3 linked regions of the Arabidopsis thaliana genome follow. The protein of the gene in region 2 purifies or fractionates together with the protein of the main gene of each other region. This does not show direct contact. Each region holds a gene or a part of one and is shown on either strand. Other genes may lie near its edges.

Region 1 (8,976 bases), on a different chromosome or scaffold from region 2:
GAGATAGATTTTGAAGTATTCAAGCGCGTTCATGTACAAAGGAAAAGCTTTGTTGTAGTTACCAGCATTGTCCTCTTTACCGCTTGTCTAACGTACTCGATCGCTTGTTCTTTGAAATTACTGTACATATTTTTTTTAGGGTTTATAGAAATAAATTCCTTCAATCATAAAATTGAATAATTTATCGAAAAAAATCAGATGATTAAAGAAACCCTAGGAGAAGCGTGGTTGATCCATGATCAGAAATTTAAGGGAAAGCAGAGAGTTTTGAAGTCGGTGAGGCTAACAGAGAGAAAGGAAAATTTTGATTTTTTTTTGACGTTTGAAAATAGAAACAACAGAGTGTTTGTGTGTAGAACACAAAGACGTCCAGGCGTCTGAGTTTCTAACTGTTTTGATGAATGACAAGGAGAATACTCGCTGGTTTTAATACCGGACCAAAAATGGGTTTAAAAGGTTCATTTAATGGGCTTAAATTTTGTGTGTCCAACGACTCCAATAGGGTTAGGCAAAAGACGCAGACATAGAACCTAATTGACAAGTCTCTCTACGTACGGCTAGAGAGAGTAATACCCGAACCAGATAATGGTTTCCCAAAATAACCTCTTTGTATATGATTTATGAACCCACTCTTTCTTCTTTAATCTTTCTTTCTATAGCGCAATTAAGATCATGGCTTGCACCTCCAGAAAAAGAAAGAGAGAGAGAGAAGTAAAGAATGATTAGTTTATTGAATTGGATCTTTCGTCTTTCTTCAGATCTCCTCCATTTAAGGACCTCCCCATATCTCTCTCACTCACCACCTTCCTTTAACTTCATTTGAAAACTTTCTTTCCCTAACCAAGAAACCAACAATGTCAATGTCGTCTCCTTCTTTTTGACTTCAATTTTACATTTTTTTATGTTTTAACTTCCTTGCTAATTTAGAATCATGAGTTTTCTAAAGCTCCTGTGAAGATTTTGAATACAGATTTCTCAAAGTTCTCTCCTTTACCATTAGACCCGTTAATGGATCCGACTTCAAAATCCGACCCGCGCCGTCAATTATTGGGGGTTTAAAAGCTTCCGACTTTCTTTCTTTCTCATCTATCACGGCGGCGTCGATGAAACGATCCGTTAGACCTCTCTTCAGTGCTCTTCTCTTCGCCTTCTTCGCCGCTACACTCATCTGCAGAGTGGCGATTCGTCGGAGCAGCTTCTCCTTCGCTTCCGCCATCGCTGAGCTTGGTTCCTCCGGTCTCATGACTGAAGATATTGTATTCAACGAGACATTGCTCGAGTTCGCCGCCATTGATCCCGGAGAACCTAACTTCAAACAGGAAGTCGATTTGATTTCCGATTACGACCACACTCGGAGAAGCCACCGTCGACATTTCAGCTCCATGTCAATAAGACCAAGCGAGCAACAACGCCGTGTGAGTAGAGACATTGCTTCCTCCTCCAAGTTTCCGGTAACGCTTCGTTCTTCTCAGGCTTATCGTTACTGGTCAGAGTTCAAAAGAAATTTACGGCTTTGGGCTCGTAGAAGAGCTTATGAACCTAATATCATGTTAGATTTGATCAGATTAGTTAAGAATCCGATTGATGTTCACAATGGTGTTGTTTCGATTTCGAGTGAAAGATACTTATCTTGTGCAGTGGTTGGGAATAGTGGTACATTGCTAAATAGTCAATACGGAGATCTCATTGATAAGCATGAGATTGTGATTCGGTTGAACAATGCGAAAACAGAGAGGTTTGAGAAGAAGGTTGGATCGAAAACAAATATATCTTTCATAAATAGTAACATTTTGCATCAATGTGGGAGAAGGGAGAGTTGCTATTGTCATCCTTATGGTGAAACAGTGCCTATTGTGATGTACATTTGCCAACCGATTCATGTTTTGGATTACACTTTGTGTAAACCATCTCATCGAGCTCCTCTGCTTATCACGGATCCGAGGTTCGATGTCATGTGTGCTAGAATCGTGAAGTATTACTCGGTGAAGAAGTTCTTGGAAGAGAAGAAAGCGAAAGGGTTTGTCGATTGGAGTAAAGATCATGAAGGCTCGTTGTTTCACTATTCGTCGGGTATGCAGGCTGTGATGCTTGCAGTGGGGATTTGTGAGAAAGTTAGTGTCTTCGGGTTTGGGAAGTTGAATTCAACCAAGCACCATTACCATACTAATCAGAAAGCAGAGCTGAAGCTTCATGACTATGAAGCAGAGTATAGATTGTATCGAGACCTGGAAAACAGTCCCAGGGCCATTCCATTCTTACCAAAAGAATTCAAGATCCCTTTGGTACAAGTTTACCATTGAATATACATATATACCATCAAGAGTTTTGTCATGTAGTTATTGTTGTTCAAGCGAAGAAGCTTGTTGGCAAGAGTGTCGTTTTGTCCAAGTCCCAAAGATTTTGCTTCAGATTGGGCAGTGAAGATGCAACACTTTCCCAATGGTAAGAGTACTCTTTACAATTTTTAGATTTGTGTTGTCACACATATTGAAATATATATATGGTATATTTGGACGATATTCTCACATCAATATAAACCAAAATCATTCAGATTGACGTGTCGATCGAAAAAGTTAATCCCACACGCAAGTTTAATACGTTTGAGTAGTACGTTTATTCATGCAAAACACAAAAGCGTGAATCCTTGTAACAACAAGAAGATCGAAAGCTATTATATGTAATGAAAAGAGAGACAATATAATAGGAAGAGTCTTTAATTGAGGATTATCGTACAATAATGAAGTGAAGCACACCAATTTTCTCTTCTAATACAAATACATGAGAGAAACAGAAAATTCACGTGCTTCACAAAATTTTAAAGAGAGAAACCATCTTTATTAAGAAGAAAACCCTAATTAAGATTGAAATCATACTTACTACTAATCACTAAGATAAATAGGGGTTTACTCGAGCCACAAAATGCTCTCCGACAAATACATCCCTCGGACAAAGAGAAGTTTTTGTTAGTGAGCATAATTAAACCTCCTTTTTTTCTTAAGGTTACTTATTTAGTAGCAAAAATCCCCTACCAAACCAAGAACCCTAATATCACATGCATATTACGTAACACACAAATACTCAAATCTATGTCTCAAACTAAAGCAAAATAAAATAAAAACAGACAGATGACACCGGGTTTCATGTAGACTTAATCGTAACCGTATCCAAAGGAAAAAGATCTAAATTTTAAAATGTTGCTTCATTTTATGTGGTAACTTTATATATTTTGATTTCGAGTCTAACAAAGAATTTCTACCTTTTCAAGATAGAAATTCTTTGGTAGACTTGAGATGTTTTGTGGCGCACAGTTTGAAGCAACATTAGAAAATTAGGATCTTACCTTCCACAGTCTCCCCGGTGTATCTAACAACATTCTCACTCTGTGGTGACGCATTCTGTATCCTCCTCAAAACCGTCAAACAAAAGAGACGGGTGAGGAGAATGTCCACTGCCAAAGGACCTAATGTGGTCCTTGAGAGACCTCTTATGCTTGAAATCTGATCCACATGTACAATACCAAAGCTTTCCGCAGTTTTTCTCATGGGTCCTCCAGTCGCCTTTCACAGCCAAGGCTTTGCCACATTTTCCGCAAGAAAAGGGCTTGGAGCCATGCTTACGTTTGTAATGTGTCTGAAGTGTACGGAAATCTTTCAGGGGCTTGGACCGCGGATGGTTGATGTTGTTCTTGCATCCCTCGGCACAGCAATAGCATGGCAGCCGCAGGATGGCTGCCGGTTGGATTGTGCCTTTCAACGAGTCAGCCCCTTTTCTGAACTCAGATCCATGTCCCCACATATGCATCTGTGTTTTGCATATATAAATTCATTAGACCATAAGAACTCTATTTTATTTTGAATATTATCAATTTAACATATTGATATTGTATGGTACCTAATAGACAATTATATATGATCTGTAGGACAGAAATTTCTTGTCCCATTATGTTTCTAAATAGTACTCGAATGCTTGTTCTAGTCAAGACTCAGGAGTGCATTTGCATTTAGGAGACTTATCAATAATACACAAATGTATAAAATTGTGCATATATTTATCACTGTAGGAATAGGGAATGGAATGGATATAAAAGGACTTGACGAAACTCTTGACCACGTATATGGTAATCACAATTTCAATAAGAAACCATATATGATGTAAGAAAAATGTGTTTTCTACTTAATTAACAAGTGGTATTGGGATAATGATTTTAATTTCGAACTAAAGTTGGGACGAAAGAAAATTTATAGTAAATGGTAAAGGAGAGAATCCTATGTAAAATATATAAACTTAGAAACCAATGATACTTAATTAGAAGGCTTTTTAATTACTAAGATCTTCATTAGGTTAAGTAATCGATTGCATATATTCAGTAAAAGTAGTATGATCATTGCTTTTTAAATTTTCTCCCCCTTTTTGGGTTTTTGCTGAATTATACTTTACCAAATCCCACTCCGTGATTATTCTTTTGCTTTTTGGCTTTTCAACCAAAAGGCAAGGCAAACAATGAAAAAAAGTCAAAAAGTTTTTCGAAGATTTCTCAACTAATCCAGAAGTTATATACCCATTCATCCTTCTCTTAATTTATCTATTGCGAATGATACACCAACCGCAATTAATTATCGTAATAACTAAGTCATCAATGTTCAACATCTTTAAATGACAAAAACTAATTTCCTTCCAACATTATGCATGTATGTATATATACGATAATATATTTTGTAGAATGTAAGATCATCATATACATATGCAGCAAAATTCTCACAAAAAGAAGTGTATGATCAATAGAAGGAATTAATTTACATGGTAATGTATGATCATACAATTATATAAACAATTATTTAACTGTTTTTAAACATTTATACACAAAGTACAATACATTACGGAATACATAATAATAATATACTTCTTTTTGTTTAAAATATGTTGTTAATTATTTTGTTATTAATGTGTTGTTGAATAATTAAGATATATATAAAGTTTTGTTTGCTGCGATATGATAAGTTTCCCTTTGAGGGGAAAATGTTATTCTTCAAAAACAAAATGAATTTATCGACCGTTTTTTGTTTTTTGCTAGCTTATATGGGAAAATAAGTAAATAACCATAAATGAATTAATACCCTATGATAATGGCAAAGGTAAAGTTGATATAGTGCTAATGTTTCTTTTTCTTGGTAAATAATACATTGACATATAGTAAGAATGGTTAACACATAATGCAAGATTTGTAGCTGATATGTAGATTATCTAACAAATCATATAGGAAAAAGATGATATTTAGAGAGAAGACGTACCTGCATGTTATTGTACCTATTGAATGTTTTGCTGCAAATAGAGCAAGCAAATTGCATTGGACCGACATGAATCTGAGCCGGACTTGGTATCCAAAACCTCTTCCCACATACTTCCACATCAGAATCAATTATCTCCTCATCAAACTTCATCTTCCTCCTCTTCTTCATCATCACCACACCATCTTCTATTATCTCTCTCTTGATGGGTTTCTTCTGATGATCGAAAGTTATATCAGAGCCATCCTCCGAGCTACCACGGTGGTATTTAGGAAATCCGATTTGGAGGGTAACCACATCATCCTTATTCTCTTCTTTGATATCCGAGGCTTGACTATTATTTTCCATGAGCTTGTTTAGAAGAGGCAAGCATTGAATAGACGTGTTGAGTGGTTCTTGTGGTTGGTACAAGAATAGAGATCGTTCCAACATGTTCATCTGACTCTGGTGGTGATTTGATCTTGATATAGCATCTCTTGTCTTCCCACGATATAACACAGATTTAGAAGAAGTAGTAGAAGATTGAGGTTTAAGCCATTCAATAAAGCTTGGGGATTCGAAACTTAAGCCTTTCGTCTCATAAGAATTCATCTCTCGCTTTCTCTCCTCTCTTTCACTCTCCCTCTCTCTCTCTCTCTCTACCTCCACACGAAGAAGGGTAAGACTAGTAGTATGAAAAGTTTATATATTAATATCAACCTACCTGGTGTGTATCGTAGCCGTTCGTCAAAATAGGTTCTCTCTTTATTTTTCTCCAATACAAAATCTTCTTCTTTAAAGTTTTGTTTTCTTTTCCTCCTACCCCCCAAAACGTATAGTGCAGAAATGTCGCACGTGTCTGTCTACGCGTTTACATCAAGAGGAAAAGAGTGAAATTTTCTTCACAAAAATGTGGTGGGTCTTACTTCACATAGTGAAAAGGAAACGCACAAGCGCAAGGCTTTTCAATGAAAGAGAATCCTAAGAATCATAGTCTTTTTTTTTTTCTTCTTTACCCTCATTTCCTTTCCCATTATTAAAATTTTGTAACATCTTAAACCAACAAATACGATATCCTTTCATCATATTATAGTCATGATTGTCATTTAAGTGCATATAGACCGGCGAAGACAAAATTCATCATTACATATCAAAACAACAATTCCAACATCATTTTAGCCGTCTTTTTAGGGACAAATGATAAAAAAAGGTAAATTGTTATAAAATCACGCGTTCACTTTTATTGACGTTGGATGATCCAAGTAGCAGATTACACGATATTGATGATACATACACTGTTTTTCATACGCAAGACTTTTCTAGCTAGTACTCTAATCCATGATTTGCACTTTATTTAAAGATATATGAAAATATTTATTAGCTTTGGAAATGAGTTCACTGATATTCTTTGATGCATGATTGGGTTCACGGGTCTATAGTTGATATGGCAGCCCACACACGTATATGTTTGCAAATGGTACTATAGAAAACTGAATCCAAAAAGTGTGAAACTACTTTGGTTGTATTTCATTCCCGTTTTAAATCTGTCGAAGCTATATTCATTCAGAAGTAATAAAGCTTAACATTAATCCAAAAAGCAGTCGCATTAGACATTCCCATCCTCACGGTAGCGTTAGAAAGACTGGAATGGAGCACAACAAGCAGATGAGATGACCTACACGAAGGAGTACGTTGACCCAAAAACTGTAATGAATTTACGTTAATTTTTGTGTTATAGACGAGGTTTTAGGACGTTGTAAGATTTTGAATACAAAGAGGTAGTGGAGTTTTGACCCATTAAGCACAAGATTTTTCTTAGAAAACAAAAAGGTTACCGCAAGTAAGTCAATACCTGAAGAATAAAATACTTGAAAGAAAAACCTAAGAAGAGTGAGTATTCATTTTAAGACGAAAATAGAAGCTGATTCAATGTATGTGTCATGTTGTGGTGGACCCTAAAACAATATTAACCGCGCAAAATTTCCGAATGGTAGTATAGCTAACCGTTGAACCGTATGCTACTATGCTTTCATTCACTAAAGAATTATGGTTTACGTCCCATGCGGTTCAAACACGGTATATACATATCTGGTCATATTTTGTGAAACCGGGTTTGAACAACTCACCAATACAATAGTACTACAATTCAAATTAAATTTTTCTTTTTGTAATTAAACTTCATTTTGGTATAATTAAAGAAAAAAAATGTTTCCTTTTGTTGACCGATACAATGACTGTATATTCAAAAAATTACTTTTAGACATCCAAATTATATTTTCATCTATCAATTACAATATTATGAAAATTATATATTTACAGATGCTAAATCAAAAACGGTACGTTTCACCTTAAACCCTAACCCTCCGAATGAGCTAGAGAGACACCAGCCCTTCTATTAAAAGTTAAAACCCTTCCCTCTTTACTTCTCCGATAGCTTTTTATTTTCCTCGTTTTTGCGCCGACCAATGCAAGGGAATCGCGACGGCTCGTGGTCACTACGCGCCTCCGCGTACGGTGGAAGCGGCAATGGAAACGGAGGGTATCTTCCTCAAACGACTCCTGTATTTCACAATTACATTGTCAAACAACAACAACCCATCAGATACAATTTCCAGACGCAGCAGAATCTCAATTTCCCTCATCCACAATTTGGCGGCGGCGCTAATGTAGAACTTATTCGAATTGATAAGGCCGTAAACAATACGCGTAAATCATTAATTGCTGCTGGAGACAACGTATCTTCGACTAGAGTTTCGCAATCGGTTTTAGCACAACTTCAGGCTGACACTTGGCGTTCCTTGGGGATATGGATGCAAGATGTTCCTTCGCTTCGCCAACTCATGGCCCTTGAAGGCAAGGTAAAGCTTAAAATTTTCTATATTGCAAATGAAACAGAGCCTATCTATTGCAAAGTTGATTCCTTTTACTTAAAACCTTTGAATCTTGTAGATCATTGCATTTATTCACTGCTTCATTGGCGCTAGAGGAATCGTGACATTGCATGATTTGGAAGTGGCAATATGCCAAAACGAGTTTGTTGGTTGTTTTGATGATCTGGGATTGGGACCTTTGCTGCAGCATCCACTTGTCTTGCTCTATTTTCCATCCGTCTATTGTTCTACTGCCCCAGTTAAGATCACTAGTGAGGAGATAATATCATTACTTGATAGCTATCTAAACACTTACGATATTGACGATGTTAAGCTCGATGAATTCCTGGATTTTGTTGCTGAGGCTAAAGCAGTTACAAGCAAGGAAAAGCTTGGTGTCCGTATTCAGAACTTGCGGTATGATCAGTTTGATAGTTTTTCTGTGCGTTGTTAAGATCTTTTGATTTTTTTGGATGTTGAATTGAAGTTTGGTTACAAGTGAATGAATCTGGTTTTTAAGGAATCACTAGATTATTGTATTAGTTGGTTGTATATGTTCGCATTAGCTGATTTTATTTGTTTAATGCATTTTATAGGATGTATGTATCTTTCATTCAAGATGCGAAGAGACAAGAAGGCGAAATATTGAAGATCGTATTGACTGAACTGCATCAGAAGTATCGCATCCTCTCATCAAAGAAACAACGGCAAGATAAGGATTATTGTGGCAAGCATACAAGATTTAATTCACCGAGCTCGGAGGAAAATGATAGTGCTGATTATGAGGTTGAAAATGTTAAAAGATCTGACCATTTCAGTAGTTGTCCGTATTCATCTGCTGA
Region 2 (8,065 bases):
ATGTAACATCAACCGCCATGAACCGCTCTCCAACCACAGCTAGAAAATAAAAATAAAACTATATATCATTAACTAAGTAATTCCAAATGACAAAAAGAGAGATAAGAATACCAACCGAAGCTCGAGCAATTATACGTAGTCCAACCATCAACAACATTATGGTTCCCTGTAATAATCGTCTTATTGATCCCATCTCCCATAAGCATTAAGTTCTTTTTGTTGATGGGAACAACAATATATTCTTCATAGACACCTTCTCTTGCGTAGATAACAAAGTAACCATCCTCTGGTCTAGTGTTATTAGGTGCGGCTGCAATAGCATCGGTGATGGTTGTGAAGTTGTCGGATTTGAACGGACCGACGATCACTGCTTTACTCACGAGGATGGAACCGCCGCTGGTCTCACCTAGCTCCCCTAAGTTCCGGCTAGTTTTCCGGCAATCTTTGTCGTTGTCGCATGTTTTACGTAAACCCTATACCAGAAAAAGAAAATGTGCTTAGTACATGATTAGCTTGTAGACTCATGCCTTTTTAAAATCAATGTTCATTGTAGCCACACATGAAATGACCGGGACACTCTTATGCACGTGAATACAGTTGGATCCGAATGGGGACCAAATTGATTTCTTTTGTTAAAGTCAAAGATAGGACTCATTTGATCATTGTTGAGTTGTACTAAAATGTGCGTAGGCCATGTGCCATTTACTCTCTTACGCGTGTTCTGGCTCACACACACAAAACAAGAGCACATCCATTTATGACTCGATCTAGAAAATTTTAGATATGCACGAATATTAAATCATTCCGTGCGTCCAAAGTAGTAAATTCATACCATATTTAACTTAGTATATGTCCTCCTACGATGCTTATCTATTCATACATGTATGTCCAAAAAGGCTTTTGCATAACCTTTCATTATTCATGTTTGAATTGTGGTGAGTGGTGACCATACAAAAATTATTATAAATCATCGATTTAAAAACTCTGTTTTGATTTTTTCTAAGGATTTATGATAAGAAGGCATATATATATATATATATATATAATGTTTTTGGTATTTCCCCAAATTCCTATTCTTATATCTCTATGCCAACCATTTCAAAAATATGTAATGTCTTTACAACTAGATTATTAACAACTTTATAATAATATGTAAAGGAATGTATAAAAGCTAGTATAAACAAACAAACAAAAACGAAAAAAGAAAAGAATTAGAAACAAGTTTTAATTAATTACCTTAATCAAAGTCTCGAGCGGTTCGCGATAGGTTGAGTTCCCACCACCAAGAATCTTCCCTTTGGAGGCTTTAAACCTCTTCAGGTTACGGTTAAGTGCGTGGCTCACAAGTCCTAACGAGATACTGTAAAGGCGAGTGAGATTCCCCATCGGCGAACCAATCGCGGCGGCGAAACCACTCTTAGCCTCCACGAGTCCGTCAAGACACGTCTGCTGATTCGTCACTACACCACTGAGAAGACTGTTCACATGCTCGACGAGAGCTGCCGTCATCACCTGCGCCGTCTTAAGCTCCGTCGTGACGGTTTCAAGGTAGTTCACACTCAGCTCCGATAACTCGCCGCAGTCCGCCACCGCCCCTATTTCCTCGGCCGTGGCCGAGCCTGGTTTGCTTTCCACGCGCCGCGCGTAACTGGTGATGACTTTGGATAGACGGCTTGCTTGCTTGAGGCATTGCTTTATAGTGAATTTGCCGTAACGGTAAGGATCTGACGGTGAGGATTTGACAGCGTTGAGGATCGTACGGCAAAGCTTAGGGTATGGAGTTGACTTGCAAGCGAGAGAAGGTGACTGAGACTGTGACGGAGGCAAAGAAGGTGGCTGTGACGGTGGCACGAATATTGGTGGCTGTGACGGAGGGAAGAATGGTGACTCTACCGGAGGCTCAAAAGGTAGCTGTGACGGAGGCTCAGAATGTGGCTGTGATGGAGATTGTTGTGATGAGATAAGCAGAGCACATGAGAGGAAGATAAAAGACAAGAACAAGAGAGAAGAAGTGAAGTTTAGTGTTTGCATTTTCATCCTTTTTGTTTTGTTTGTGTATTGATGGTGTTTGTTATTTTGGATCTAAAATCTGCTATATATATAGACTATACGAGGAGCTTTCTGCTATTTAATGAATGCATGGGCTCGAGGGAAACTGAATTTATCATTTATGTAATGCATGTTGGTCTAATAATTAAGGGTTATACTCGTTTTGGTCAAATGAAGAGTTTTTTTGGAGCCGGTGGTCCACCGTCACGACGACCAAACATGGGTTGACTTGGTTAGGAAAGGTTTCTTCATGTGATTTAACCGTAAAAAATGGCTATTTTTAGAGCTTAATTTTGTTTAGCTCAATTTGTTATGCCAGTTGACACTGTAAAAAATTAACATTAATCAGACATGTCAAAGATGAATTTGTATTTAATTTAATTTATAATCAAACAAGCTGTGTTGACTTGGAAGAGGGTTTCATATCTATTATTTGACCGTAGATTTTGCATGTGATGTGTTGGGAAGCTTTTAGACAAGGCAAGACGGTGCAGCCTAGAAGAAGAAGTCGTCACTTTGTCGATTACGCAATTCACACTAACAAGTTATGGTCCATCTATATACACACTCTTCCTATTCATCACATATCGTTGTAATACCAAGTACCCAAGGTAACCATTAATAATCCAAATTCAATATTTGTTTCAACTAATGAAATATGTATACTCTATTAGAATTTGTATGATTTGTTTTAGGTGAAAGCTTAAATTGAAACTCTGTTACAAAACCAAAACCGGACATCAAACTAAGATCTATATTATTCAATTCGGAGGATACATACCCTGACCAAATAAACCGAACCAAAACAGATTTGAAGCTAATAATCACGAATACAACCAAATGATTCTGATTACAGACTAAGAGAAGCTTTCCCACCACATAAACTAACACAAAAAAAGAAGAGAGATATCTATTAGAGGGAATGTTACAAAGAGAAGAAAAGTTTGACGTGGACTTTCAGATCAAGCATGAGCAACAGAGACTGAGTCTAGTTCACGGCCATGAACCCTGAAGCGGTAGATGCAAGTGTGTGAAGAGCTTCCATGGTTGGAATTGAAGTCTAGCCTGACAGTGTTGACAAGTCCTGAGTGAGCAGAGTCTGCAATGTCGAATGTCTGTGCATTGGACCTGTCTAAGTCGTAACTGAATTCTGTAAGAAGGGGCATTGTCTCAGTCTCCATATCTATGTCACCTAGCCATCCTGATACACGGCAATCCTTTGGGGCGCTCGATCTGTCATATGCTACAGCCTGTTCGATTAAATGGTGCATAACATAACCGTAAGATTAGTATTGCCTTTTAGTGGTCAGACAAGAAGAAATTTATCAGACAAATGATCACAAGGATGAACAATGATGGAAAGCAATGTGTGACCATCACATTACACACTCTTGAGACTATTTCCCTTCAGCTACTGTTTCCTAAGGATATCCGTAAACAGTGAATATTACAGTTCCACTAATTGTAAACTTACAAGCTCTTCCCATACATACGGTTCTTTTCTCTGTCAACGATGTCCCAAACAAAGCACAACAACACAGTGGCATTGATATTAGACAAAGGAACTGCTAAAGCTAGTGATTTGCAGAAAATAACAATAGGTAAAATCCTCCTCAATGCATATTGTCACAGCTAGTGCCTAAACTAAACCTCAAACTATAAGAACTCAAATTCACAAAACTAGTTTCTTGCCCTCTATTCGATAACCTATTGTCACCAGCAATCCAATCCGAAGTACAGGGCATCTCAATACCAACAACATTTAACAGAGAACCCTTCTTGAAGGCTCAAATTAACATATAAAAATCAATCATTTTGTGAAAGTTTAGTATTGAGATGTTAGTACTACCTTAGAGACATGTTCCAAAGTAACAGCTTCTGGAATTATTGGTGCTCTTAGCCTGACTAGAACATATCCATTGCTTCCTTTCAGAGGAAAACACTGTCCAGGCTCCCCGAAACTCGGAGTTAACATCTTAACCGCTTTGCTATGAACCCGTCTCCTGCTTGTCCCAAACCAATTACGCCCATTTCCAACAAGAAACGGATCCGAATGCCCCATTACAAAAGCTCCACCAGACGCTAACGCATAATCTACTCGACCAAGGCCATCTGCAACATGTTTCCCTATCTCTTTCTCCACTATGTCACGAGCATAAGCCCTCAGTTTATCAATGTTAACATCAGAATCACCGACCTTACCCTTCTTCAACTCCTCGTAAACTCTCTCTAACTCCTCTCTAGACACCAAAGGTTTAGCATTTAACTCATCTACAGAAACCTGTAACCTCTCTGTCTTAGACTCTACCTTCTTCAACTCACTATGTAACACAGAAGATGTGGAATCTATCGTCTGCCTCAATGCTCTTGATTCACTATCCATCTTCTTATCAAGAAACTCAACTTGAACCTGCATCATCTTCGTCGTAGTCTTCACCAAACCATCAACTGCAGAAATCCGACTCTCCAATTCCGAAAGCACCATTTCCGTTTCAATTGGGAAATTCGAAGAAGACAGAGACGAATCCTTCAAAGTCAATTTCCTAATCAACTGAATCAATCCAACAAGTAACAAAAGAGCCCCAAATTGCTTCGCGAATACCCTAACCACTGTCTTCCATTTCCCTCTATCTATCTTATTCCCCTGAGACTTCCGCGTCCGACGCTGCGTGGTGGTTGTATTAGTCCCCGTCGCGGTGGATCCTGATTTCCTTGTCACCGGACCTACGTCGTAGGTGTTGGATCTCTCACCGGCAGCCTCGGCGCGAATCAGATCCTTGTTCGTACCAGCAGACGACTCTCCAATTGCCGCATTGGCATGAGATTCGCTCGGCGGGAAATCAAAATTAGATTTCTTCTCACCGGAGAGAACCGGCGTCCGCCTTATTGTCCTAGGACTAGCGGTGATTGACACCGTTGACGCCGACATGATCTTCAATTTTGAACTACAGAATTCGAAATGCTCTTCCTTATGAATAAATAAACCCTAATTTTGACTACAGAGAGAGAGATTTGAAATGGAAGAAGAGTGAGGAAGTTTATATAGGAGAGAGATCACTACAAAATTCAATTTTGAAAATCTGAATCGTGTGTTCTTCAGTTTCGCCATTTTTATTTGTTTTGATGCTCCTCCATTTTTTTCAAAATTCATTATGATGGGCTTTTAAAAGCCCAATAATGGAAATAAAATGGCCCAGCCCACTTTCACGCCTCGTCATCTTCTTTTATGCTAAGAAGAAACTGTTGCTTCATCATTCTTGCATATCAAGATATCTAGAGTCGAGATAAGCTCATGATTAAAGAAAGTAAATTTATTCACCAGACTATTATTATATATACACAAGGGTACGTTATAAGCATTTATGGAATGTAATTAGATTTGAACCACAAAGAGACTTTTGACATGAAAGTTGATACTTCCTTGTCATTGTTTCTCTTCACACAGTGGTAGTTTTCTGATGGGAAGAAGAATCAGAGATTGGCATTCTTATCTTTGCAGATTCCTTCAACAAATCGAATGAAGAAAAGGAATGTGGCGGGAGAACAACGGTCATATCCTCCTCTGCCAACTCTAGCAAGCTTTCATGTGGTACAACCTGCAAATAAAAACCAATAAGAACATGGGAACACTCAGAATTTGTGATGATAATGATGTTTCTTCCATCTCTTGATTTTTACCTTCTCTGGCTGTGAGAAGGAATTTTCATCCATCACATTGGTAGAGGTAAGTACTGTCTTCTTTGATCCCGAAACTCTCATCACGTTCGGGTCCAATCCAGTTACCAACACTTGCATATTTTCTGAGTTAGCTCCGAAGTTTACAGCCTGCAAATAACAGATTTTGAAACAGTTTTTTAGGGTCAATATCAGAGCTCCGGTTGAATCTTTCACTCGGTTTACCTTTATGCGTATGTAATCTTTGCCATTGTTTTTCCAAGAGATAGCAGATGCAACAAGAGAAGTAGAGTTTCCCTTGAGTGTTGAAGTGAGAAGAGTTGCTCCGCTTGACTCTGCAAAAAACCGTTGAACCCAATAGCTAGGTGTTCCATATAGATGAGAGGAGTTGAAGACTATTGCATCAGGGTTCCACCTGAAACCAATTTAACAATTTGAGATTATTGCCTTATCTTCCTGAGTAACCATTCGAACGGAAAAGTAAGTGAGAGATACCGTCTATCATTTGTGTTCACAAAGAGTGGAGCATAACTTGCCATTTCAACAATGTCACTGCAAAAAGTCATAAGATGTTTAACTTATTTGATGTTTTTAGTTGAGATCAAAGCCTGGGAAGAGAAATTCAAAGGGAACCTATTCTTTTCAAGACCAATGAGAAACGCAGCTTCTGCAAGAGAGGCAAGAAGGCTTCCTGTACCAGCATCTTTTCCAGTAACAGCATATTCACTGACAAAAGCCTGTAAACAAAGTTCACGAGTGAGTAAAACGCTGAAAGCTTCATCTTGTGTTTGTTGGAATTAAGTTTTGTTATAATCTATTACCGCACCTTTGGACCTTTGCGTGAAGTGCGATCAAATTGATGATACATGGAAAACAAATTGCTAGCAGAAGTGTAAATCTGTGACAAAAAGGAAACACTTTTTTCAGGCGGAAGAGAGAACACAAGACAACGGTTACAGTTTCTGTCAAGATAGAAAATTTTACGTGATAGTCATAGTAATCAGCTGGGTGGTCGAGTGGATGAGAGGATCCATCGCAGTTGGAGATGATTTTGATATCTGGATAGGCTTTCTTGATAGCATCATAGAACACAATGTAGTTTCCTGTAAAGTTGTAATCTCATTTAGTGTCAAAGATGCTCAACAAAAATCTAAGTCAAGATGTGATCATAGAGAAATGCAAAACCTCTGTAGTAAGTTTTCCCACAATCTTCATTTCCAATAGCAACGTATTTAAGTTCAAAAGGTTCTTGGCGTCCCATTTTAGCTCGAACAGATCCCCAAGTAGAATTGGCATCTCCTCGGGCAAACTCGATACCGTCGAGTGCTTCCTGAAACAAAAAGAGGAGAAAGTTTTGGTTTTCCGGCTTCTTCACTAGTGAAACAGAGGAAGGTTTAGTAATCATACTTGAACAAAGGGCATGATACTGGCAGTTTCAACTTCATCATTGTGACTTATCCCTGCACAAAGTAAAAAATAAGGTTGACAGAATTGGAAGACAAAATGATATAAGTCAGTTACAACTAAGTTTTTGGAGAGTGAAAGAATACCGTTGTTAAACACCCATATCGGGGCTGCACCGATGTCTTCTGCCATCTGCAAGAATGTTCATTTAATATTCAATAACGAGCTTCGGGGATCATTATGTACTCAATAGAAAAGAAGAAGTCTCACTTGAAAGAACTCAAAGTGGCCAAGGCCATCATCGGTCCAATACTTCCAAACATCACCAAAATGGCCCGGTCTCTCTTCCCAAGGTCCTACGGTTTCTTTCCAGCGGAAGGCATTACTTAACCATTCACCCTCGACAAAACAACCACCTAAATTCACAAATATCCAGAGTAAAGAATAGACTTTAGCTTATTTCATCTTAAGTCATGCTTTTTGTCATATTGAACTAAGAGGTACGTCTATGGATAGAATAAGTAACAAAAATGCTACTAGCCTTAAATAATACGTACCTGGGAACCGGATGAAACGGGGTTTTATATCGGCCATCATTTGGAAAAGATCGTTTCTAAAACCATGTCCCTGCAATCAACCAAAAAGATCGAGTATTTGATAGAGTTCTTCTTCCAATATTTTCTCTATTAGCAATCTGTAATCTTCCATCTCAAGGCTCTACAGGGAATCAGAGAGAGCGAAAAAAGAACCTTGTGAGTATCCACTGGCATGGCCGAGACTTGGTCAATCCATATTGACCCTTTCTTGGTTGTTGTTAACTGAAGTCTTGCACTAGGATCGGTCGCTTTTGCCTCCAAAAGAACCTCTTTTTTAATCCATTTCGAAACATCAGAAGCAGAAGCTCTACATTGAAACAAATGAAAGCATACAATTGAAA
Region 3 (7,800 bases), on a different chromosome or scaffold from region 2:
GATGATGAGAACTCGGAGTTATGGGACAGTAATTTGGAATTGGAAAACGTTGTTGAATCGATTAAAGGATGGTCAACAAAAGGGAAGAGAGGAAGGAGAGGTGATTTGAAGTTTGATGAAGCAGATTTGAAGGATCCACCTTTAGAAGATGTGAAGGATATTGATGATGCTAATGGTCTATTGTTCTTAGCTACTACTGCAGAAGCAGCTGCTAATCTTAATGTTGCTGAGACTTCTGCTTCGCGTTCCGTTGAAGAGAAATATCTGGAAATGGTCAAGAAGAGGAAGAAGAAGCAGAAGAGATTGTCTGAGATGGAGAAAGAGTCATCAACATCTACTCATCATGATCATCAGCTTGATCAGGTTGTTGTTGTTGCAGCTGAGGAAGGTGGTGGTGCCGGTGCACGTGAGAAGCACGTGTGTGTGACTTGCAACAAGTCGTTTAGTTCTTATCAAGCTTTAGGAGGTCATAGAGCAAGTCACAACAAGGTCAAGATATTGGAGAATCATCAAGCTAGGGCAAACGCTGAAGCTTCATTACTTGGAACTGAAGCAATAATAACCGGTTTAGCTAGTGCTCAAGGAACAAACACATCTTTAAGCAGTAGTCATAATGGAGATCATGTTTGTAATATATGTCACAAAAGCTTCTCAACAGGTCAAGCTCTTGGTGGTCACAAGAGATGTCATTGGACTGCACCAGTTTCTACTGTGGCTCCAACCACGGTTCCAACCGCTGCTCCAACCGTTCCAGCAACTGCGTCTTCTAGTCAAGTAACAGAGACAGTACAAGAGGTGAAGAAATTGAAGAGAAGAGTTTTGGAGTTTGACTTGAATGAGTTGCCACCTAACGAAGAAGAAGAAAGAGTCTAAGAGACGTATATATGCAAGCAAGTAATCTTTTTAACTTTAAAAAAAAAAAAGACAAAAAAATAAGACTTATTAAATTAGGAGGTAATGATGGTAAAAAGGAGTTGTTGACATTGTAGTATGAAGAAGAAAGAGAGAAAGATATTTTGATTTTGGGTTCTTATGGTACTTTTAGTGTTTGGCTTTTAATCTTAATTTGGTGGGGTCTTTTGTTAATTTGATTTGATGAGAAGATATATATACTCTTTTGTTTTCTTCTCTCAAGCTTTGATATGTTTCTATCTTTCTTTTATTATGCTTTTGGATTCACATAAAGCATGATAGTTTAATTGACCAAAGTTCCATAAAGTAAACCATCTTATTCATTTCACCATCTTATCTTTCTTTTCTTTTTTCAAACAAATGGTTTCTCCATAAATTTATGATGATAAATATTAGAAGTTGCTCCAATTAATTGGAATACCGAACTCTAGGACAAACAAAATTGACATTTTCTTAGTCTATGTTTGTAGAATAGTGGATCTCCAAGCAAGACCATATACAAATTTAACTTCCACTAAGAAATGATATGATCTATTATAGTTCAAGTTGTTGTTAGTGTGGTATTTTTTTACAATTTCTTAGCATATGTTACATACCCCAAATTTGAGTTTTGAAACACACCAAATTTGAAAGAAAGAATCAAATCTCTCTTCATTACACTAAGAAAAGAGACCAAACTATGGTAGGTCCAAATTTGTAAAATGATTTGGATATAAATCCAAAGATCATCACATTAAGACACCTATGAGTGAGTCTAAGATGAATAATAACTTCTTCTTTTTTTTAAGTATATTTGATCAAATTGATTATTGGTTTGCAAATCTAAAACTCTTCAAGACGTGGGCATTGTTAAGTGTTGTTGGAACAAACCAACATTAAGATGGCTGTTTATAGTCAAATTGTCAAAAGTCTCCACTTGCAGCTAATGACATAAGACCACTTCTATGTGTCATCACAAACAACACACCACACAATATATTCACACAACTATATTGAATTCTTCTTATTTATAAACTCTAAAGAGCTTACAATGAATATATATTAAGACCGACTCAAATTATTTAAAGGTTATGTGCAAATTTTCATTGTACATGTGAATATCTAAACTTTTTTCACTTGTGTGTTTATATATCTTATCTTCTGTATTTCATTATTTCTTATTTACTAAAGAAATTATGGAAAATGATGGCAAAGTTGACAAAGAGGCAACAATTTTATACATACACACTGACGTCATGACAATGCAGCACGCAGAAACACAAAGTAGAAAGCAAAGAAGAGTTGGGTCTATTGGAGCCAAAATGTTACAATATATATAAATACAAAACTTGTATAAATATAGATAAAAACAGATTCCATCAAACAAAACTATCATGTGGGAACAGCAATCTCCGGTTCTGGTAACAGAGAATAATACAGTATAAAGAGCAAGCCTAACTGTAGAAGAAGACATCTAGTGGTCTTAAATGCTCTCTTCTTCAGGCACTCCACTTCTTGAATCTCTGTGATCTCTACACAATGGTTTTGTAAATCTTGAGCTTGATTCTTTAGATTCTCAGCTTTTGTTTCTGCTTTATCAAGCTTTGATAGCCCCAATGTCTTCTCTTCTTCAATCAGTTTGATCCGTCTCTTTAGGTTTCCCACTGATCTTGAGAATATGATATATTCAATCTCTGCCTCCACCTTTTGCTGGAAGATGTCTTCTATCCCGATCTCTGTTCCTCCGTTACACGTCTCTGAAACGTTTATGGTAGATTCGAGTTCACGGATTTGTGTTTCTTTAACCTCGAGAATACGCTTTGCTTCTTCTAGTTTGATCTCCAGATGCTCTACATTGTTCACCAGGTTTAGTATCTCGGAATCTAGAGAAGTTAATTCCATTTCTCCCATCTTTTCAGACCCAAACCGGTAAGAAGAGCTTGCTTCACTAGCTCCTTCGTGTCCTGCGTGTATGCAACTGCTGCTTTCTCCTCCATCATGCAGTGATGTTATAGGTTCTTCTTTCCCAAGCTCTTGGAATTTTTGAAGTTCTGAAAAGGGAAAAAGAACAGGAGTTTAGTCAAACTCGAAACACAATCATGTTAATATTACACGGCATCATAAGGAACCAGTGTTAGAGTCATTCAAGTTTTAGTTGATTAGGACTACTACAATGCAGCAACAATCAAATTCCAAATGAAAATCTGTATTTATGAAATTGATACCTTTTTGGAGGGCTTCTTGCAAAGTCTGGAAACTGTTGACGGCTACTATTAATGGATCCAGATTGTCTGATGAACCATTGCTCTTGATTTGAGACTCTTCAACACAGTCTCCTTGTGAATAGTCTTCTGTTTCTTCTTCTTCTTCTTCCACGTTATCCTTTCTCTTCGAAGTATGTGCGTCATGATCACTATTTTCATCGTCATAATCCATCATTCTTCTTCCGCCTTGTTCTCTGCTACTCAAACTATAGGAAGCACCCTGCATAAACACAAAGTTGGAGCTTCTTGAGTCAGCAGATTCCATGCTGGAATGAGAGTTTTCCTTCTCAATTTTGATCCTTTCTCCTCTAAGTTTATTACTCTTCTCTACACTACTCTTCCTTTGTTGACTACTATCCCCCGAACTAATCACACTCTTCCCACCCGAGACCTTTCCTCTATGTTTGTCCCAAGAATGACTCATTGTACTACTCCGATCCTCACTGTTATCCGAATCAACACCAGCTGCAAAAGCAAGACCATTGCCATAACTCTCCCCACCCATTACAAAACCAACCACACTATTCACCGAGCCAACAGAACCAACACTATCTTGTCTAACTTCAGGTCCTGGCAAATGCATTTGTTTAGCATTCGGATCAACTAATCCTGACAACACCCTCTTCAGAGCTTTACTATTCTCCATACTCACAGAAGTATCATCCTTAACAAGATCTCTCCTTAACCTCCTCTTCCATTTTCTTAAACCAAATCCTTTTGATATAAGAGGAGAAGTCTCAACCGGTGAATTCAACTCTTTATCAAGATCACCAATCAAACCATTATTATCTTCAACAGATTCAAGAACAGAGCTTTCACTCTCCAAATCCATGACGACGCCACAAAAATACTAACTTTTCACATGGGATCAATCTCAAGACTAAACAACCACCATTCCAGTAAGAACCAGAGGCAAATTCAATAAAACCAAAATACGAAAACAAAAATGAAGCAATAGGGTTCTCTAAATTCAACTCAATTCCCAGATTAATCACATTTACGAAAGCCAATGAATCGAAAGTTTCGAGCTTGACGTACCTAATAAAATGGAACGCAAAACCACTCAAAGGTGAATCCTTTACGAAGAGACCGAAACGAAATTAGAAGACGATTTAAACGATTCGCAGAGATCTCTCTCTATATCCGTTGATTGTGGAAAGTTTCGTTGCGAAAAATCGTTTTTTTTTTCCCGGTTACGATCAAAAAACATTTTGATTCGTTTCCTTTTTTTTGTAATAGAGAAATACGAACGTGTGAGCGACATGGTCGGGACACGTGGCGAAACCGCTGGATACTTCAGCAACTACTCGGATATTTTATGACCGTTCGATTCGACGTGATCTTATCTGGTCGGATCTGGAATTCAACGGTGTGTGATATACCGTTAGGACTTTAATATGATCTCGACTATTTTACTAATTTACCCTCGTCTTTCTAACTTCTTCAGTTTTGACGTTTACATCTTTTCTATATACAGTGGTTGCCGTTTTTAGGTATGGAAACAACGAGACTTATCCTTGAGCGTTTGATAAACGCTTCCACATCGTTTGATAACGAGACTTTTCTACATACAGTATCAATCTTGTTTTGTTCATACGTCACACACTCCAAGATTTTGATGGTAAATTTTTTGTTTTTGTGTGTGTGTGTGTGTAATGTGTATGTTTTTAAAGTCCCTTATGATTGTAGATAAATGTGAAAATGTGTGGGGTAAATAAATAAAAAGTCACAAGTGGACTGGTCTTGGACCAATTCCCACTGTGAAATCAGATTTCAAATGTTGTGTCAGTGTACACATACATACATGCACCACCTTGAATTAAAAAAAAAAGATAATTACTCGATTATGAGGAGTTTATCTTACAAATTACAATATACTAAAATGTTATTGATAAGAAAAATTGTCAAATACTACTAGGTTACTACTTATGTTATGTTAGTACTATTGTTAGAAATTTAGTTCATAATCACATAGTGGAAGGAATTTCACTTACTTAGAACCCAAAATATGTTTTACGTAAAATATTCTCTTGACATTTTTCTCCTATTAATTGCAGCAATGATAGTATTATATGATTCAATACTCAATATAGTACAATGTTTGGAGTTTTCTATAGACCACAAAATACAAACAGTAAATGACAAACAACCAAAGTACTAAGAAAATTGAAAATGGTTCCCTTTCTTCAATCCTACAACCTCTTTTAAGCTCAAAGTTCAATGTCTTAAATCTGACTCTTGTCTATTTAACTCTCTTAAATCCAATGTAACCCATGTTATATTTATACTTCTCTAATAACTCGATCTTAAATAAAAACTGGAGTCTTCTTGGTAAACTAAAGAAGAAAAAAAAACTCATTAAAAATTTCCAGAAAATGCAGAGGAGGTTGAGAGAAGAGAGAGAGGAGAGCTAAAAACAAATGACATAAAGGAGAATCCAAGATTATAAATTTAAGTTAATTATAAAATGGTTTTTGATTAAGTGGGTGATCATTATAAAATGACATTGGTACATGTTTAGACATTAACCATCTCCAGGCTGCTTCTCTCTTAACCATTTCTTTAATCACTATTTTAAAAACAAATTAATGTCCATAAGCACTTTCAGATCCAACTCACAACTCCAGATTCTTCTCCCTCTTCATTATCACAATCTTCTGCTCTTCCTCAAAAAGAAACACAGAGAGAAAGATAGACGAGAGAGACAGGCTTGGTAATGAAAAGATATGCAGGGGAAGTGACACGTCTTTTTTTGCCTTGTGTCTGAAAAAGATCAAACAAAAGGGTAAGTCTTTAAGAAATCATCTTTAAAGATTTGACTAATATGTTGCTTTTTCATTGTTGGTCCTAGCTAGAGAGTAAAAAGATTCAATCTTGTTAATGATGATGAACATTAGACCACAAACTCAATGTAAAGCAATGATTTTTCTTCTGACCCGTGACCTCTCCATTGTTGCAGAGACTCTCTGAAACTGGCTTGGTGTTGTTGGTCAAATCTGAAGTAAGAGGAGGAGGAGAAATTAAATAAAGAAAAGAAGAAAACACAAATTGGGTTTCAACAGTGTTGTAGAAGAGGGACCCCACAAAATGGAAGAGTTAGATACATCACATGCAGTTTCTCAGATTTTACCTCAATCTCATTGAACTGCATCAACTGTTGCATTCATGTTCTGACTCATCTCCTCTCAGTCCCACTCACTTCAATATCATCTGTCAGAGAAACACCATTATGAGATTCATTACCAAGTTAGAGAGATAAAGACATAACCTTTTGAAGCTGAGAGGTGAGAGCTTTCATTTGAGTTTAATTTGTGTTTGGTGAAAGAAGTAAAAGGAGTAATGAAGGGAATAGAAGAAGAAGCAAGTTTAGTTGGTTTAACCATAAGAACTTCATCACCAGCAAGCTCTTCAAGTAAGAAAGGTAAAGAAGATCTTCTTCAAGCAAATAATAATGCTTCAGATTCATCTCCAAGTATCAAAAACTCTCCTTTCTATTCACCTTCTCTTGTGTCCCCACCATCTTCTGCTTTTGTTTCCGCTTTGCAATCTCCTTATATATCCCCAAGAGCTACAACACCCTCCATTACCACTCACAAGCCATCACCGCCTCTTTCTTACAAAGGCTCACAATCTGATGATGTACCAAGCAGCTCCTACACTCCTCCTTCTGACCAGTACGAGTTTTCTGATGAACAACCATCAGATCGGAAGCTCAAGTTATCAGCATCTTGTACTCCAGATCCTGCTCCTCCAAGGATCTCTTTCTCTTTCCCTGTTCCTAGGGTTTCTTTGGCTAAAGTCTCTGTTTCTTCACCTGCAACTAACACCAAGCTCAGGAGCTCTGATGTCTTCATAGGGTTTCATGGACAAAACCCAAACTTGGTGAGATTCTGCAAATGGTTAAAGTCAGAGCTTGAGCTTCAGGGAATCGCTTGTTTCGTTGCTGACAGAGCTAAGTATTCGGACACACAGAGTCATGAGATCGCCGACAGAGTTATCTGTTCTGTTACTTATGGGATTGTGGTTGTCTCTTGTTCCAGCTTGCTCAACTACCTTAGCTTGGAGGAAGTTAGGTTCTTTGCTCAAAAGAAGAACTTGATTCCTATTTTCTATGGAACTGGTCCTTCTGAGATTATGGGTCTTCTCAACTGCAATGCCATAGATAAAGAGTGTAAAGAAGCCATTGATGGGTTGATTAAGTCTCATGAGTTTAAACTAGAAGCTAATGAGAGTAACTGGAGAAGCTGTGTGGGAAAGACTGCGACGATTCTCAGGGCAAAGCTTGGGAGGAAGAGTGTGGCTGATAAAGAGATTGTGGAAGGGATTGATGAGCTTCCATTTCCGAGGAACAGATCTTTTCTTGGAAGAGAAAAGGAGATCATTGAAATGGAGATGGCTTTATTTGGTAATGGAGAGTATCTTGAGTCTACAACACCAAGTACCAGAGGAGAAGCAAGTGGACAATCTGAAGGACTTGCAGATGAGGAATCAGATGTTGTACCAACTCGAAATGGGAAGTTTATTAGCTTGGAGCTTGGAAGATGCTCAGATTCAAGAAGTGAGGCTTGGAGTGATCCAAATGGTGGGAAAAACTCTCTTAAAAGATTGTTGAAGACTAAGAAGTGTAGAAACAATAGTAACTGCA

What was found.
Region 1: the proteins of SUN2 (region 2) and WIP3 purify together in Arabidopsis thaliana (affinity purification with western blotting, with the first as the bait; one study listed by BioGRID). This does not show direct contact.
Region 3: the proteins of SUN2 (region 2) and WIP2 purify together in Arabidopsis thaliana (affinity purification with western blotting, with the first as the bait; 2 studies listed by BioGRID). This does not show direct contact.

What each region holds. Positions count from the first base shown.
Region 1 is NC_003070.9:2,607,305-2,616,280, forward strand, and holds WIP3 (WIP domain protein 3), read right to left. Parts: upstream 6,074-8,976; 5' UTR 5,877-6,073; coding exon 5,289-5,876; intron 3,802-5,288; coding exon 3,376-3,801; 3' UTR 2,692-3,375; downstream 1-2,691. Other genes in the region: AT1G08270 (vacuolar protein sorting-associated protein), read right to left, coding at 1-33; AT1G08280 (Glycosyltransferase family 29 (sialyltransferase) family protein), read left to right, coding at 1,104-2,300; NVL (no vein-like protein), read left to right, coding at 7,470-7,600, 7,699-8,122, 8,214-8,551, 8,731-8,976. UniProt on the Arabidopsis thaliana protein: Probable transcriptional regulator.
Region 2 is NC_003074.8:3,355,545-3,363,609, forward strand, and holds SUN2 (SAD1/UNC-84 domain protein 2), read right to left. Parts: upstream 5,159-8,065; 5' UTR 4,979-5,158; coding exon 3,899-4,978; intron 3,300-3,898; coding exon 3,012-3,299; 3' UTR 2,744-3,011; downstream 1-2,743. Other genes in the region: AT3G10720 (Plant invertase/pectin methylesterase inhibitor superfamily), read right to left, coding at 1-39, 116-473, 1,237-2,037; ASD1 (alpha-L-arabinofuranosidase 1), read right to left, coding at 5,487-5,645, 5,728-5,874, 5,950-6,139, 6,220-6,276, 6,358-6,461, 6,551-6,622, 6,709-6,827, 6,910-7,054 and 5 more. UniProt on the Arabidopsis thaliana protein: Component of SUN-protein-containing multivariate complexes also called LINC complexes which link the nucleoskeleton and cytoskeleton by providing versatile outer nuclear membrane attachment sites for cytoskeletal filaments.
Region 3 is NC_003076.8:22,748,377-22,756,176, forward strand, and holds WIP2 (WPP domain interacting protein 2), read right to left. Parts: upstream 4,442-7,800; 5' UTR 3,988-4,441; coding exon 3,117-3,987; intron 2,943-3,116; coding exon 2,284-2,942; 3' UTR 2,086-2,283; downstream 1-2,085. Other genes in the region: AT5G56200 (C2H2 type zinc finger transcription factor family), read left to right, coding at 1-873; AT5G56220 (P-loop containing nucleoside triphosphate hydrolases superfamily protein), read left to right, coding at 6,495-7,800.